Linked DNA regions of Coturnix japonica. The protein of the gene in region 1 purifies or fractionates together with the protein of each later gene. This does not show direct contact. Links are inferred from orthologs where the notes say so. Each region holds a gene or a part of one and is shown on either strand. Other genes may lie near its edges.

What was found. The genes of interacting proteins can lie anywhere in the genome.
Region 2: the proteins of KLHL22 (region 1) and EMC1 purify together in Homo sapiens (co-immunoprecipitation; 3 studies listed by BioGRID and IntAct, with this or other methods). This does not show direct contact. The link is inferred for Coturnix japonica from reciprocal best matches to the Homo sapiens genes KLHL22 and EMC1.
Region 3: the proteins of KLHL22 (region 1) and NUDCD3 purify together in Homo sapiens (co-immunoprecipitation; 3 studies listed by BioGRID and IntAct, counting the BioPlex papers as one, with this or other methods). This does not show direct contact. The link is inferred for Coturnix japonica from reciprocal best matches to the Homo sapiens genes KLHL22 and NUDCD3.

Annotation. Positions count from the first base shown.
Region 1 is NC_029530.1:7,309,771-7,313,528, reverse strand, and holds the end of KLHL22 (kelch-like protein 22), read left to right. Parts: intron 1-71; coding exon 72-264; intron 265-1,146; exon of another isoform or gene 1,147-1,179; coding exon 1,180-1,413; exon of another isoform or gene 1,414-1,930; intron 1,931-2,095; coding exon 2,096-2,473; 3' UTR 2,474-3,258; downstream 3,259-3,758. UniProt on the Homo sapiens protein: Substrate-specific adapter of a BCR (BTB-CUL3-RBX1) E3 ubiquitin ligase complex required for chromosome alignment and localization of PLK1 at kinetochores.
Region 2 is NC_029536.1:4,062,381-4,066,440, forward strand, and holds the start of EMC1 (ER membrane protein complex subunit 1), read right to left. Parts: upstream 2,801-4,060; 5' UTR 2,785-2,800; coding exon 2,684-2,784; intron 2,613-2,683; coding exon 2,488-2,612; intron 2,217-2,487; coding exon 2,151-2,216; intron 2,066-2,150; coding exon 1,972-2,065; intron 1,795-1,971; coding exon 1,666-1,794; intron 1,533-1,665; coding exon 1,406-1,532; intron 1,268-1,405; coding exon 1,118-1,267; intron 972-1,117; coding exon 804-971; intron 697-803; coding exon 625-696; intron 257-624; coding exon 200-256; intron 1-199. Other genes in the region: MRTO4 (mRNA turnover protein 4 homolog), read left to right, coding at 2,892-2,919, 3,472-3,530, 3,598-3,701, 3,794-3,875, 4,003-4,060. UniProt on the Homo sapiens protein: Part of the endoplasmic reticulum membrane protein complex (EMC) that enables the energy-independent insertion into endoplasmic reticulum membranes of newly synthesized membrane proteins.
Region 3 is NC_029537.1:104,876-109,067, reverse strand, and holds the start of NUDCD3 (nudC domain-containing protein 3), read left to right. Parts: upstream 1-1,392; 5' UTR 1,393-1,459; coding exon 1,460-1,648; intron 1,649-2,571; coding exon 2,572-2,864; intron 2,865-4,192. Other genes in the region: PPIA (peptidyl-prolyl cis-trans isomerase A), read left to right, coding at 27-199, 333-468.

The DNA of each region.
Region 1 (3,758 bases):
AGCGCTGTGTGTATTCCAGCAATAATTCTGTGGATTATGAATCACTTTCTTTGATCCGATTCTTTCACAAGGTATGACCCACGACACGACAAATGGTTCCAGATCCAGTCCCTACAGCAAGAGCATGCTGACCTCAGTGTTTGTGTTGTGGACAATTACATATATGCCGTCGCAGGCCGAGATTACCATGAAGACCTGAGAGAAGTGGAGAGGTATGACCCTAAAAGCAACACTTGGGAATATGTGACACCTCTGAAGAAGGAGGTAAGGAGTGCATTAGCCACACGCACTAATACAGTTCCCCAGTTCCTAATTTCATCTTTTTGGTGCTTTTCTCATGCATAGCTTTCATTTTGCCGATAATCACTTGGGAAGCAGAAGCTTCTGTATTTAAGATAAACATACCAATAAAGAATAATAACAATGTATAACTTTAATTTTGGTGTTTAATGCTTATTTTTCTTGTTTTCTTCCTGTTTTCCCTTGCACCTCTGTTGCATTAATCCTTAAAATCATTTCAAATTGAACATGTAAGTCAGGGAACTTCCCATTCCTCCTGGGATATGTAAGCCATGAGTAGTACAAGCTTCTTATCTACAGTCCTGATAAGCATGCTTCATTCCCAGTTAGAAGAAATCATCAAATACTAGGAAGGTACCATAGGATCACAGAATGGCTTAGGTTCAAGGGATCTTAAAGATCATCTAGTTCCAACCCCCCTGCCATGGGCAGGGTTGCCAACCACTAAATCAGGCACTAGATCAGTTTGCCCAGACCCCATGCAGCCTCCACAACTTCTCTGGGCAGCCTGTTCCAGTGCCTCACTACCCTCTGAGTGAGGGTACATCAGTTTCTATATACTATTTAGTTCACAGACTAACAAGTAGACAAGGGAGAGAAGTAATTATATGGATGAGTTTCTAATTAAGAAATAGTAAGGAATGACAACCCACTGTAATTTTAGAAGTTTGGAAATTCTGGGGTAATTAATTTAGAAATTCATGCTTTCAACATAATCACCTTGAAAGGAGTTGGCTATAAGAAAATAGAAAGTCCTTCCAGATGTTAATATCTGTATAACTATAACATAAATGTCACTTATTTAATGTCTATTCCATACTTTGAAACTGGGAGAAATACACAAACCTCGAACTCTTGCTTTCCCACATGGTTATGCAGGTATATGCACACGCTGGAGCAGCACTGGATGGGAAGATGTATATTACCTGTGGGAGGAGAGGAGAAGATTATTTGAAGGAGCTGCAATGTTATGATCCAAAGACTGACCGCTGGGAAGTTTTAGCAGATAGTCCAGAGAGACGTGCTTGGCATGGGATGGCTGCACTGCTGGGAAAGCTCTATGTAATTGGAGGAAGCAACAATGATTCTGGCTACAGAAGGGATGTTCACCAGGTGAGAGCATATCATACCTCTGTCTTGGAAGAGTCTGTTTCTTACAGATGCTTGCACACTGATGTCTTACTCCTCCTATGTGCACAAATAAAACTGCTGAGCAACAGCATCAGCTCTCTTCCACTTAATTGCAGAACTTGCCATAATTTATTTTCTGCTCTCTTGAATGCATTATCTAAGCATTAAAGCTGTAGCATTTGAGATTCATGTAAATTCTAAAATATCTTTGCTGAATGACATTCAATCCCATGCATATAGCCCATAAGTAGCACATCAGCTGAGTTTCCTTTACCTTGCCTTCCCATATGCATTTTTTCCTAGGTTAAGAACTTTGGAATTAGCAGTGTACAGTCGCAGGACAGGATTTGTTAAGGATACATTGGAAAGTGCTGTGAATGGATTGGATGGCAATTGTATAATGCAATAAAATGTACAGTACCTGATGGGCAGCGATGACTGGAGAATTTTCTTGTGTCTCATTCTGACTTCTGTAACTGCTCAAGACATGAAAAAAGACCTAAAAATAAAAAAATAAAAATAAAAAGGAATCGCTTTGATAAAGCCAATGAAGGTAGCAAAATTTAACCTAGTTAAAATATACCTAAGTAGCTTGCCGTACAGCCAGGCTCTGTCACTAAGATCCAAGTTCAGTTTGGGCTAATGTATTTTTTATTTTTTACAGGTTGCCTGCTACAGGCCAAGCACTGATCAGTGGACAAATGTATGTCCGCTTCCTGCAGGACATGGAGAGCCTGGTATTGCTGTCTTAGACAACAGGATCTATGTCTTGGGAGGCAGATCCCACAACAGGGGAATCCGCATGGACTATGTCCACATTTATGATGCAGAAAGAGACTGTTGGGAGGATGGACCCCAGTTGGAGGATGATATTTCTGGGATGGCTGCCTGCGTCCTCACCTTGCCCAGGGCTATTTTAATGGATACAGAGAAATGGTTCTCAGAATGGCACACAGACCGCATGAAGTATCACCTTGACCTTCCGTCAGAAGTTATGAGCGTATCAGACTGGGAGGAATTTGATAATTCAAGTGAAGATTAAAAAAATGTAATATTTATTTTTTGCCAGTAGTTGAGGAAATTAAGTCTTGAAAGAAGAAAAAAATAATCACAAAGATTTTATATGTCTTTCTTATATCCATAAATATTTAAAAGGAATAAGTATTTAAAAGTTTGAAAAATAAGTGTTCTGCACAAAATGACATTTGCTGTCATTATCTGCTCATCTGCAAGTGTTTTGCACAAAATGTCACTACGAGTCAGTATCTTCTTACCTACCAGAAAGCAGGATTTTTAAAGTAACCACAGAACTGCCATTTCCTCCCCGATAAAGTAGGGGGATTCTTTTCCTTTGAAGGAGGCTTCTCTCAACTTTCAGCATGGACAGAGAAATAAAGAAGGCACAGAAAGCTCAGTTTGACTGGCTTCTTTCCTTCCAGCTTTTAGTGTGAAATAGCTTTCTGAGTCTGGGGAGATTTGTTTTTCCTAGTAATTACACCTTATAGCAAGCCTAACATAGGAAGGTAAGAACTAACATCTCCCTCCTGTGCCAGGCGTCAGACAGCTTGATCATTTCTAGCCAGACTGAACATACAGAAGCAGGAACAGTAGTAAGAAATCTGAACCTTCATCTCATCTGGGCACGCAGCCATCCTCATAACTGGGTTAGAGTCTGTGAACCAACACCCACTCCTGAATTTCTATACTACAGGTGCTGACAATGCAGCAGAAAGAAAATTTCTAGAAATAGCTCTTTGTACAGAATATGGCAATCTCATCATTCAGCTGTCAGACACATTTCTTCACAAACATAAATTAATTAATAAACCTTTGTCAGAACTTTTTTTTTTTCCTTTTAACTACTGTCACAGTTTTCTTAACCATGATGTGGAATCTGAGAGATGGAGTTCAATTAGATCCCATGTTACTACATTATTATCAGTGAAGATACACCTGGTTGGGGAATGGGCCTATTTTTTATTCACTCTTTTAATATGCACTTTACAGAAGGATAAAGAGTGCAGATATGGGTTTGCTTCAGATGAGGAAGGTAAGTAATAAGCAGATAACAGGCAGTAGTGGAGATGTCACTTATCCATGACCCTATGGTAGCTGAACTAATGACAGGAAAATAACAATCACCACAGCTCAGAAAGAGAAGACACAGAAAAGCCTTTGTTTAGGAAGCCTAAATGATTCACTTCTGACTGTCATTTTGCCTGACAGTAGTTTAGAAACTGCTTTAAAGTCCAAGCTGTTGTGATACATGGACATTAGGGGATCCCTCCCACCTGGAGGGGCAGGGACTAATGGGTGCCACCAGAAAA
Region 2 (4,060 bases), on another chromosome or scaffold:
ACGTCAAATTCTGCTGCAGAATCTCATGTGAGCAAGCATTATGGTTTCAAAATGTTTTTAGATGGTTTATCTATAGGTGCTGTGAAACATCAGCCTCCAAAACCAAGGTGTAACACCTTCTATGCTCTGTTCCCACAAGCAAAGGAAGAAAAAGGACTGTCAAGAACTTTTATGGCATATGGGAACTTGTTTTTCATACTTGTTTCTGGGAATCCTCCAGAGCACTTCCATGAAGGCCATCAGAACTCCCAGGTTTCTGCAATGAGGATGAGAGAAGGTAACGTGATTTGACACTGCCATGAGAGCGTGATAAATGAATTGCTTTGTGTGCTTGGCAATCTCAGCTTGGCTTTAAAAGCAGCAGAGAGTTATGCTAAAAACGAGGCTGTGCTCAGCTCAGTGCCCGTAAGAACTGAAATCTACTGCAGTGAACGTATACGTGACACAACAGCTTAGACAAGGTGAGCCTAGGCTGGATGTAACCAAGACCTGCATGCATTACTTCTTAGGCCTGAAAAGATCATTAAATCCCACTCTTTCCCAAGCTACTCATCATGCAGGCCTGCAAAGGAATAAGCGTGGAACCCACTCTAAGCCACATTCAGATGACAGAGCTGCACCTACCAGCTCATTCCTACAGGTCAGCACAGCAGCAACAGTTTTCTCCCCAGTAGTTGCAAAGCTCACCAGGGCTGCCTGAAAAAAAGGGAAAAAGAGAACGGAGCAAGAAATGATAAAACACAATAAAAAGGGGTGTTTGTTGTTAGCAGTGTTAAGCTGTGTTGGCCCTTTCTCCTGGTTACCTGCTGGAAGTCCCTCAGGTGGCTGAGCAGCCCCTGTTTGCACTGCAGCAGGGAGAAGGAGCCCGGAGAGAGCTGCAGGAAGAACTGAGTGCGCGAAGCGTTGATCACACTGGGCTGAGTAGCCAATATCCTGGGCTGGAAACCATCAGCAAACTCCAGGTCAAGCGACTGTGGAAGGGAAACAAGCACATGCATTGATGGAAACTTCTTCCCCAGTGAAACTAATAGCTTCCTTGTATCAGCAGCAACAGACAGCACCGCCAGGCACCAAATCAGCTGGATAACTGCACACGAAGCCTCTCAGCACTGCTCACCTGCAGCGGGATCTGCTTCATCTCCTGCTCCGTCTCCAAAGAGCAAACATAGAGCGAACGCGTGGCTGCGTCTGCACACACCAGCACTGCCTCCCCCACCACGTTGCAGGCTCCATTTAAGCTCTTCAGCCACGGGGCTGCTACTTTGGTCTGCCAAGAGAGACATCAAGAGATGAAGACGTCAACAGCATGATGATGTTTAAGGAATGAACTTACATACACAACTCCATGCACTGTGTTTGTTCATATCAAATTTGCCACATTGGATCCACAATCGAGCACAACTACCTGTTCTATGACTTCTCCATCCTCCACACTGAGCGTTAACACCTTCAGATGGCTCTGGGGGACAACTCCGAGCACATGGATCACTCCAGCCCCACGGGAATACAACATCTGGTATCGAGTATCCTCACTGTGCGAGAAACAAAGGGCACGAGGCATCGTTTGCTCGTCTTATTGCTTCCAAAGCTTTTCAAGGACATGAAGCATCCTGAGTTGGGCTGTGAGTCTGAACTTTCTTTCTTCAGCTCCAAATACATCCTCACCTTTCAGGCAGCTGTTCCACCCACTTCTGGTGCCCGTTGGACAGGTAGTGCAGGGAGATGGCCGCCTTCTTCAGCACTGCCACGTACTTCACCGCGTCCTGCAGCCCCACCAGACTCGCGGCCTGGAAACTGAGCACAGGTCAGAGATGGTTGATTAGAGAATGATCTGTGGGCTCTCAAACAGGGGGAGCTGTTGGATACAACCATCCAGATTTTCAAAGCCTGATGTCCAAACTGCTGTACTGCAGACAAGGTACGTTAAGCTTACTAACTAAATACTGACTTATCCCTGGTGCCCAGCGCTACCTGCCCGTGTCCAGCGACGTCTCCCAGTTCAGCCCTCCGATGTTGGTCTCCCAGGAGCGCAGGATGCGCCCGGCGCTGGATACGGTGATGGCATCTACACAGGGAGCAAAGGGAGCTGAGCCCAGAGCCAGGGCATCCAACACGGGGAGCAGAGCAGCTGCTGTGTGTGATGTGCTCACCTTGACCATGGATCAGCATCGCGTCGATGGCTCCTTCAGGGCCGGCCTTGTCTGCATGGCGCCACACTGAGACACAGAGCGAGAAGGAGATGGGCACAATGAGGATGTTGCTGACTGCTCTCAAACCCACGGCCCTGGGACCTCCCAAAGAGCCTCACTGCAAAGAGCCATGTCCTCACTGCAAAGAGCCATGTCCTCACTGCGGGAGCTGCAGCTTGGATTTCAGGGCCAACATCCCCCTGAAGGAGCACTGATAACTGGCACACATAGGCTTGGTGTCACCCTCATAGTGGATATACAGCACTGTGGGCTGTGACCCACACCCCGCCCCACTCACGGATGTCTCCGCTGCGGGAGTTGAGCGCAGCCACCACGTTCTTCTCGGTTCCCACCAGCAGCTTCTTGGAGCCCTGCGAGGCCTCCAGCGAGGCGAACTTCAGCTTCCCCACGTACTGCTGCCTCCTGCGGGGACGGGCAGCGTTACACGGACACGAGCCGTGGGTTTAGCCCCGCATTGACAGCCCGGCACTCACCAGTCGAACTTCCCCACTTGATCCTCGTACACGGCGGCCGCCAGCGGCAGCAGCAGCACCCACAGCCCGGCCGCCATGACAGCGCCGGGACCTCCCCGCATCACGGGGCTGCCCTGCGCTGCGCCTGAACGGGGAGGCACCGAGCGGGGCAGCCCGCACATCCCCAGCAGCACCCGCGGTGCCGGGGGGCCTCGAAGCACGGGGAGCCATGCCGAAATCCAAGCGGGACCGTAAGGGTGAGTGAGCGGCTCATGTCGCGGCGTTCCGTCCTCCCCTTCCCCATTAACCATTCAGGGGGATGGAGCACCTCCCCTATGAGGACAGGCTGAGCGAGTTGGGTTTGTTCAGCCTGGAGAAGAGAAGGTTGCGGGGTGACCTCATTGCAGCCTTTCAGTACATGAAGGGAATCTACATCCATGAGGGGATTAAGCTCTTGGAAAGGGCTGACAATAGCAGGACACGGGGAAATGGTTTTAAGCTTAAAAAGAGGGAAGATTTTAGGTGGATGTTAGGGGGAAGCTCTTTCACTAGAGATGGTTTAGGCCTGAACAGGCTGCCCAGGCAGGTTGTGGATGCCCCGTCCTTGGAGGTGTTCAAGGCCAGGTTGGACGGGGCCATGGGCAACCTGATCTATGGGGTCTCTATGGGGTCTATGGGGTCTCCTGGGCAACCTGATCTAGTAAAGGTGTATGTTTGGTGGCCCTGCCAGGCAGGGGGGTTGGAACTACACGATCCTTGAGGTCCCTTCCAACCCGGGTCATTCTGTGAACCACGTCCCCTCCCCGCAGTGTCCCTGACGCGGACGCCTAAGAAGGGACTGGAGGCCAAACAAGCGCTGATCACGGAGGTGAGTCGTGCCCAGTGCGCGCTGCCCCGCTCCACCCCATTAGGCCCCGCTAACCGCTGTCGTGCAGCTGCGGCGATGCGTGGACACCTACAAACACATCTTCATCTTCTCCGTGGCCAACATGAGGAACAACAAGCTGAAGGACGTGAGGAACGCATGGAAACACAGCAGGTGAGCAACGGGATGGGGAGTGATGGAGAGGGGTCAACCCCATCATCATCACCATCATCATCATCATCATCTTCCTCTTGGTTGAATTGTAGGATCTTCTTCGGGAAGAACAAAGTGATGATGGTGGCGCTGGGCCGGGAGCCAAGCAGCGAATACAGGGAGAACTTACACAAGGTGGGAGGGAACTCGGTTAGAAACAACCGGCACAGCTGTCCGTAGGGGGGGGTTCATCCATGGAGGTGATGAGGGCATTTCCAGCCTTAACTCTGAGTCTCAGCACCTCTGGGCTCCTTTATCACAGGTCAGCGAGCACCTGAGGGGTGAAGTTGGTCTCCTCTTCACCAATCGCACCAAAGAGG
Region 3 (4,192 bases), on another chromosome or scaffold:
AACCAGAAACACGTTTGTTTTATTAGGGCGGTGACTTCACGCGCCACAACGGCACCGGGGGCAAATCCATCTACGGGGAGAAGTTCGCCGATGAGAACTTCATCCTGAAGCACACGGGGCCTGGAATCCTGTCCATGGCCAACGCCGGCCCCAACACAAACGGCTCCCAGTTCTTCATCTGCACCGCCAAGACCGAGTGGTGAGTGGGGAGGGGGCACAGCATCACAACGTGGGGACCCCGGGGGGAGGCAGCTGCATCCCCAACCCTGGTGGCACCCAATGGCCTCCAATGGTACTCAGTGGTTTCCAATGGCACCCACACCTCTCTGCAGGTTGGATGGCAAGCACGTCGTCTTTGGCCGCGTGAAGGAGGGGATGAACGTGGTGGAGGCCATGGAGCGCTGCGGCTCCAAGGACGGCAAGACGAGCAAGCAGATCACCATCTCCAACTGCGGGCAGCTCTCGTAAACCCTGTGTCTTAACGCCTGACATTCCGCCTGCAGCCCGGGCAGCTCCCGGTGCGGCCCCCCCTCCCCTCGTGCTCCTGATTTACTGCTGCGTTTCTACTGGGTCTCGCCGCATGTGCACAGTCCGACCGGACTGCAGAGTTATTATGAGTCTAAATAAAACGAGTTAAACCACCGCACGGCTGCTCTTCTTTGACGTGGGGGGGTAGAGTGGGGGCCCCTATGGGATCTGGTTCCCTTCCTGCCATGAAGTGGCTCACTGACCTCAATAGGGGCAGATGTGGGGGGTGTGAGGCCCCCTCCTCCCCCTATTGCTGTGCTCAGCCCCCCCGGCCCCACAGGGGCTGCAGTGCTGCTCCTGCACCTCCCAGCGTGGGGAAACTGAGGCACGGGGCCTCGGGCAGCTTCTTTAGGGACCTGAGGGGTGTGAATGGGGGGAGCCCAGGATGGGGAGATGGGGGGGAGTTGGGGCAGAGGGGGTTTGTCCCCCAGGTTACTCGGTGGGGGGAGAGGGGAATAGAAACCCCCCCTGGATATCGGTGTGGGGGGTGTCCCCCACTATAGGGTTTGTGGGGGTGTCCCCCCCATCTGTCCAGCACAGCAGGGGTTTGTGTATGGGGGGGTTTAGAGACGTCTGCCCGCTCTGGGGGGGAACCTGAGGATCTCCCAGTGTTCCCAACGTGGGGGGGGGCAGCAGCGCCCTATTGCTGCCGTGTTGTGCTGTTCTCTGCCTGGGACCCCTCCACATGCGGAGGCTGTTCCCGTTCCAGCGGGATATGGAGCCGGTTCCCGGGTCGCCCCTCCCCACATCCCCCCCCCCGGTTCGGTCTCGTGCTGCGGCGGCGCGGCCCGGAACTCCCGTTGCCCGGAACCATTGTGCTCGGCTCAGTTCCCCGCGCAGATGAGCAGCGAGGAGGACCGGAAGCGGCGCCTCGCACGGACCGGAAGCGGAGCCGGGCGGGCGGTTGCCGTGGCAGCGGGCCGGGTCCGCCATGGAGGCGCTGACCGAGATGTACGACCAGGCGCTGCTCGGCATCCTGCAGCACGTCGGCAACGTGGACGACTTCCTGCGAGTCCTCTTCGGCTTCCTCTACCGAAAAACCGATTTCTACCGCCTCCTCCTGCGGCCCGGGGACCGGCTGGGCTTCCCGCCCGGCGCCGCGCAGGCCATGGCCATGCAGGTACCGCAGGGGCCGCCCGTGTCACCCGATAAACGGACCCCCCGGCACCACGGGGATGAACGGGGCCAACAACGGCAGCGCTGGGAGCTGGCAGCGCATTGCAGCACAATGCAGCCCAATGCAGCCCATTGCTGCCCATTGCAGCCCATTGCAGCTCATTGCAGCCCATTGCAGCTCATTGCTGCCCATTGCAGCCCATTGCTGCCCATTGCTGCCCATTGCAGCCCATTGCTGCCCATTGCAGCCCATTGCTGAGAGCTGGCAGCGCATTGCTGCCCATTGCAGCCCATTGCTGCCCATTGCTGCCCATTGCAGCCCATTGCTGCCCATTGCAGCCCATTGCTGCCCATTGCAGCCCATTGCTGCCCATTGCTGCCCATTGCTGCCCATTGCTGCCCATTGCAGCCCATTGCTGCCCATTGCAGCTCATTGCAGCTCATTGCAGCCCATTGCAGCCCATTGCTGAGAGCTGGCAGCCCATTGCAGCCCATTGCTGAGGAGCTGACAGCCCATTGCAGCTCATTGCAGCTCATTGCAGCCCATTGCAGCCCATTGCTGCCCATTGCAGCCCATTGCTGTGGAGCTCACAGCCCATTGCAGCCCATTGCAGCCCATTGCTGAGAGCTGGCAGCTCATTGAAGCCCATTGCTGCCCATTGCAGCCCATTGCAGCCCATTGCTGAGGAGCTCACAGCCCATTGCAGCCCATTGCTGAGGAGCTCACAGCCCATTGCAGCCCATTGCTGAGAGCTGGCAGCCCATTGCAGCCCATTGCACAGGCAGCAAAACCCTGCGGCCAGGTCTGTCCTGATGGTGCAGGTGTAGGCAGTGTGCGATGTGATACCCACGGTTGGAGGCACAGCAGTGCGGCCCCAGGCACGTGTTCCTTGTCCTCTCCCTGGCAGCCAACTGTGTTTTTTGCAGGCGTTCAAAGTGTTTGAGCGGATGGCCCGGCAGGACGATGAGAAGCGCTGCCGGGAGCTGGAGGCAAAGCTCCGCAAGAAGGAGGAGGAGGAGGAAGCTGCCGCGTCTGCCGAGAGGGTGAGAGTGGCCCCGGCTGCACATGAGGTTGAGGTAGAGACCACGGAGGAGCCCGAGCCCTCGCTGGACGCGGGGGATGCGGAGGGGCCGCAGGATTCACCCACAGCCCCGGCAGCAGCAGCCGGCCCCGTGCCAGCAGAGCCCCCTGCACAGCCCTCACCTGCCGAGCTGCCCACGTAAGGCTCCCCCCTCGTGCTGCTTTCCTCGCCCCGCTGGCAGGGGCTGGCAGGGTGGGGGGGTGGAAGGGGTTGCGTGATCCCCCGTGGGAGGCAGAGCTGTGTTCTGTGCTGGGGGTTTGGGGTTTTGTGGCTGCGCTGAGGGCAGGGGGTCGTCGTGTCTCTGCGTTGCTGTGTGCTGGAGCTGTGCACACTGAGGTCACTGTTCTTGGAGGCTGAATGGGAAATCCAGATGCTGTCCCGCAGCCTTTTCCTCATGGAAATTTGGGGTCTGTGCCCCATATGTGTGCGGTGGGAGCTCCCAGAGCCGGATGGGTGCTCTGCAGATCGCTCTCATACTAAATATCCGTGTGGGCAAGTGGCAAGGCCAGCATCAGCATTGGGTGTGCACAGTTTGGGAGCTCCAGAGGTCTCTGCCCTGGCCTTCAGCTCAAAGCAGAGCCAGCTTTGAAGCTACATCAGACACTGCTCAGAGCTTTATGTACCCTTTCACTGAACTTGGGGGCTTTCAAGCTGGGCTGAGCAGCCTCACGCTCCAAAAACGTCCTTGCTCCAAAGTCCCCCCAGCGTGTCTGAAAGCTGCTGCCAACCAGCTCCCCTTCCCTGCCAGGGTGAGATGGCACAAAGCCCGTGGGTCCTGCACTGATGTGTGACAGCTCCAGGTCCTGGAAAAGCTGGGGTGGGATGGATAGAGAGAATGGAGTGAGAGGGGAAGGTGCCCAGCAGCTCGGTCAGGTGAGAGTGAGAAGGCTTTGTGCTGAGCTCAGCCAGCCTGACCTGTGTTGCATGGGGTAAAAATAAGCCAGAAGCCACAAGTGATACGACCTGAAAAGCCACGTTCTGTTGTCCCATGAAGGAAATTGTCCCTGGGGCAGTCTGACACCTCACAGAATTAACGAGCCAAAAAAAAGCCCCACTGGAACCAACAGAGCTCTTGTGCCTTGCCTCAGCTGTGACCTGCGTGTTCCCAACCTGGGCTGGGGAAGGGAATGGGGCAGCGTGGCTGTGGGATCCAAGTAGGGCAGAGCAGGCAACAGGTTGCTGCTGTAGTTGGTGTTTGTGCCTCTGGGGGGCACTGGAGCCCCCCGAAAGGCAGCAGGCATCCAGGGCACCCCTGACAGGCTATTAATAATTGAACCAGCTGCTTAATTCTGCACAACCCCTCCTGAGCAAAACCCCGAGCCGCCAGCTTGGAGACAAGGGGCGCATGAATAACATGCAGCGCCAGCAGCAAGAATGCAGAAAAGAGATTAAACAAAAACATTTTTCTTCTCCCTTCCCCCCCCCCTCCACCCCCCTCAACTGGTAAAGGAAACCATCACCACCAA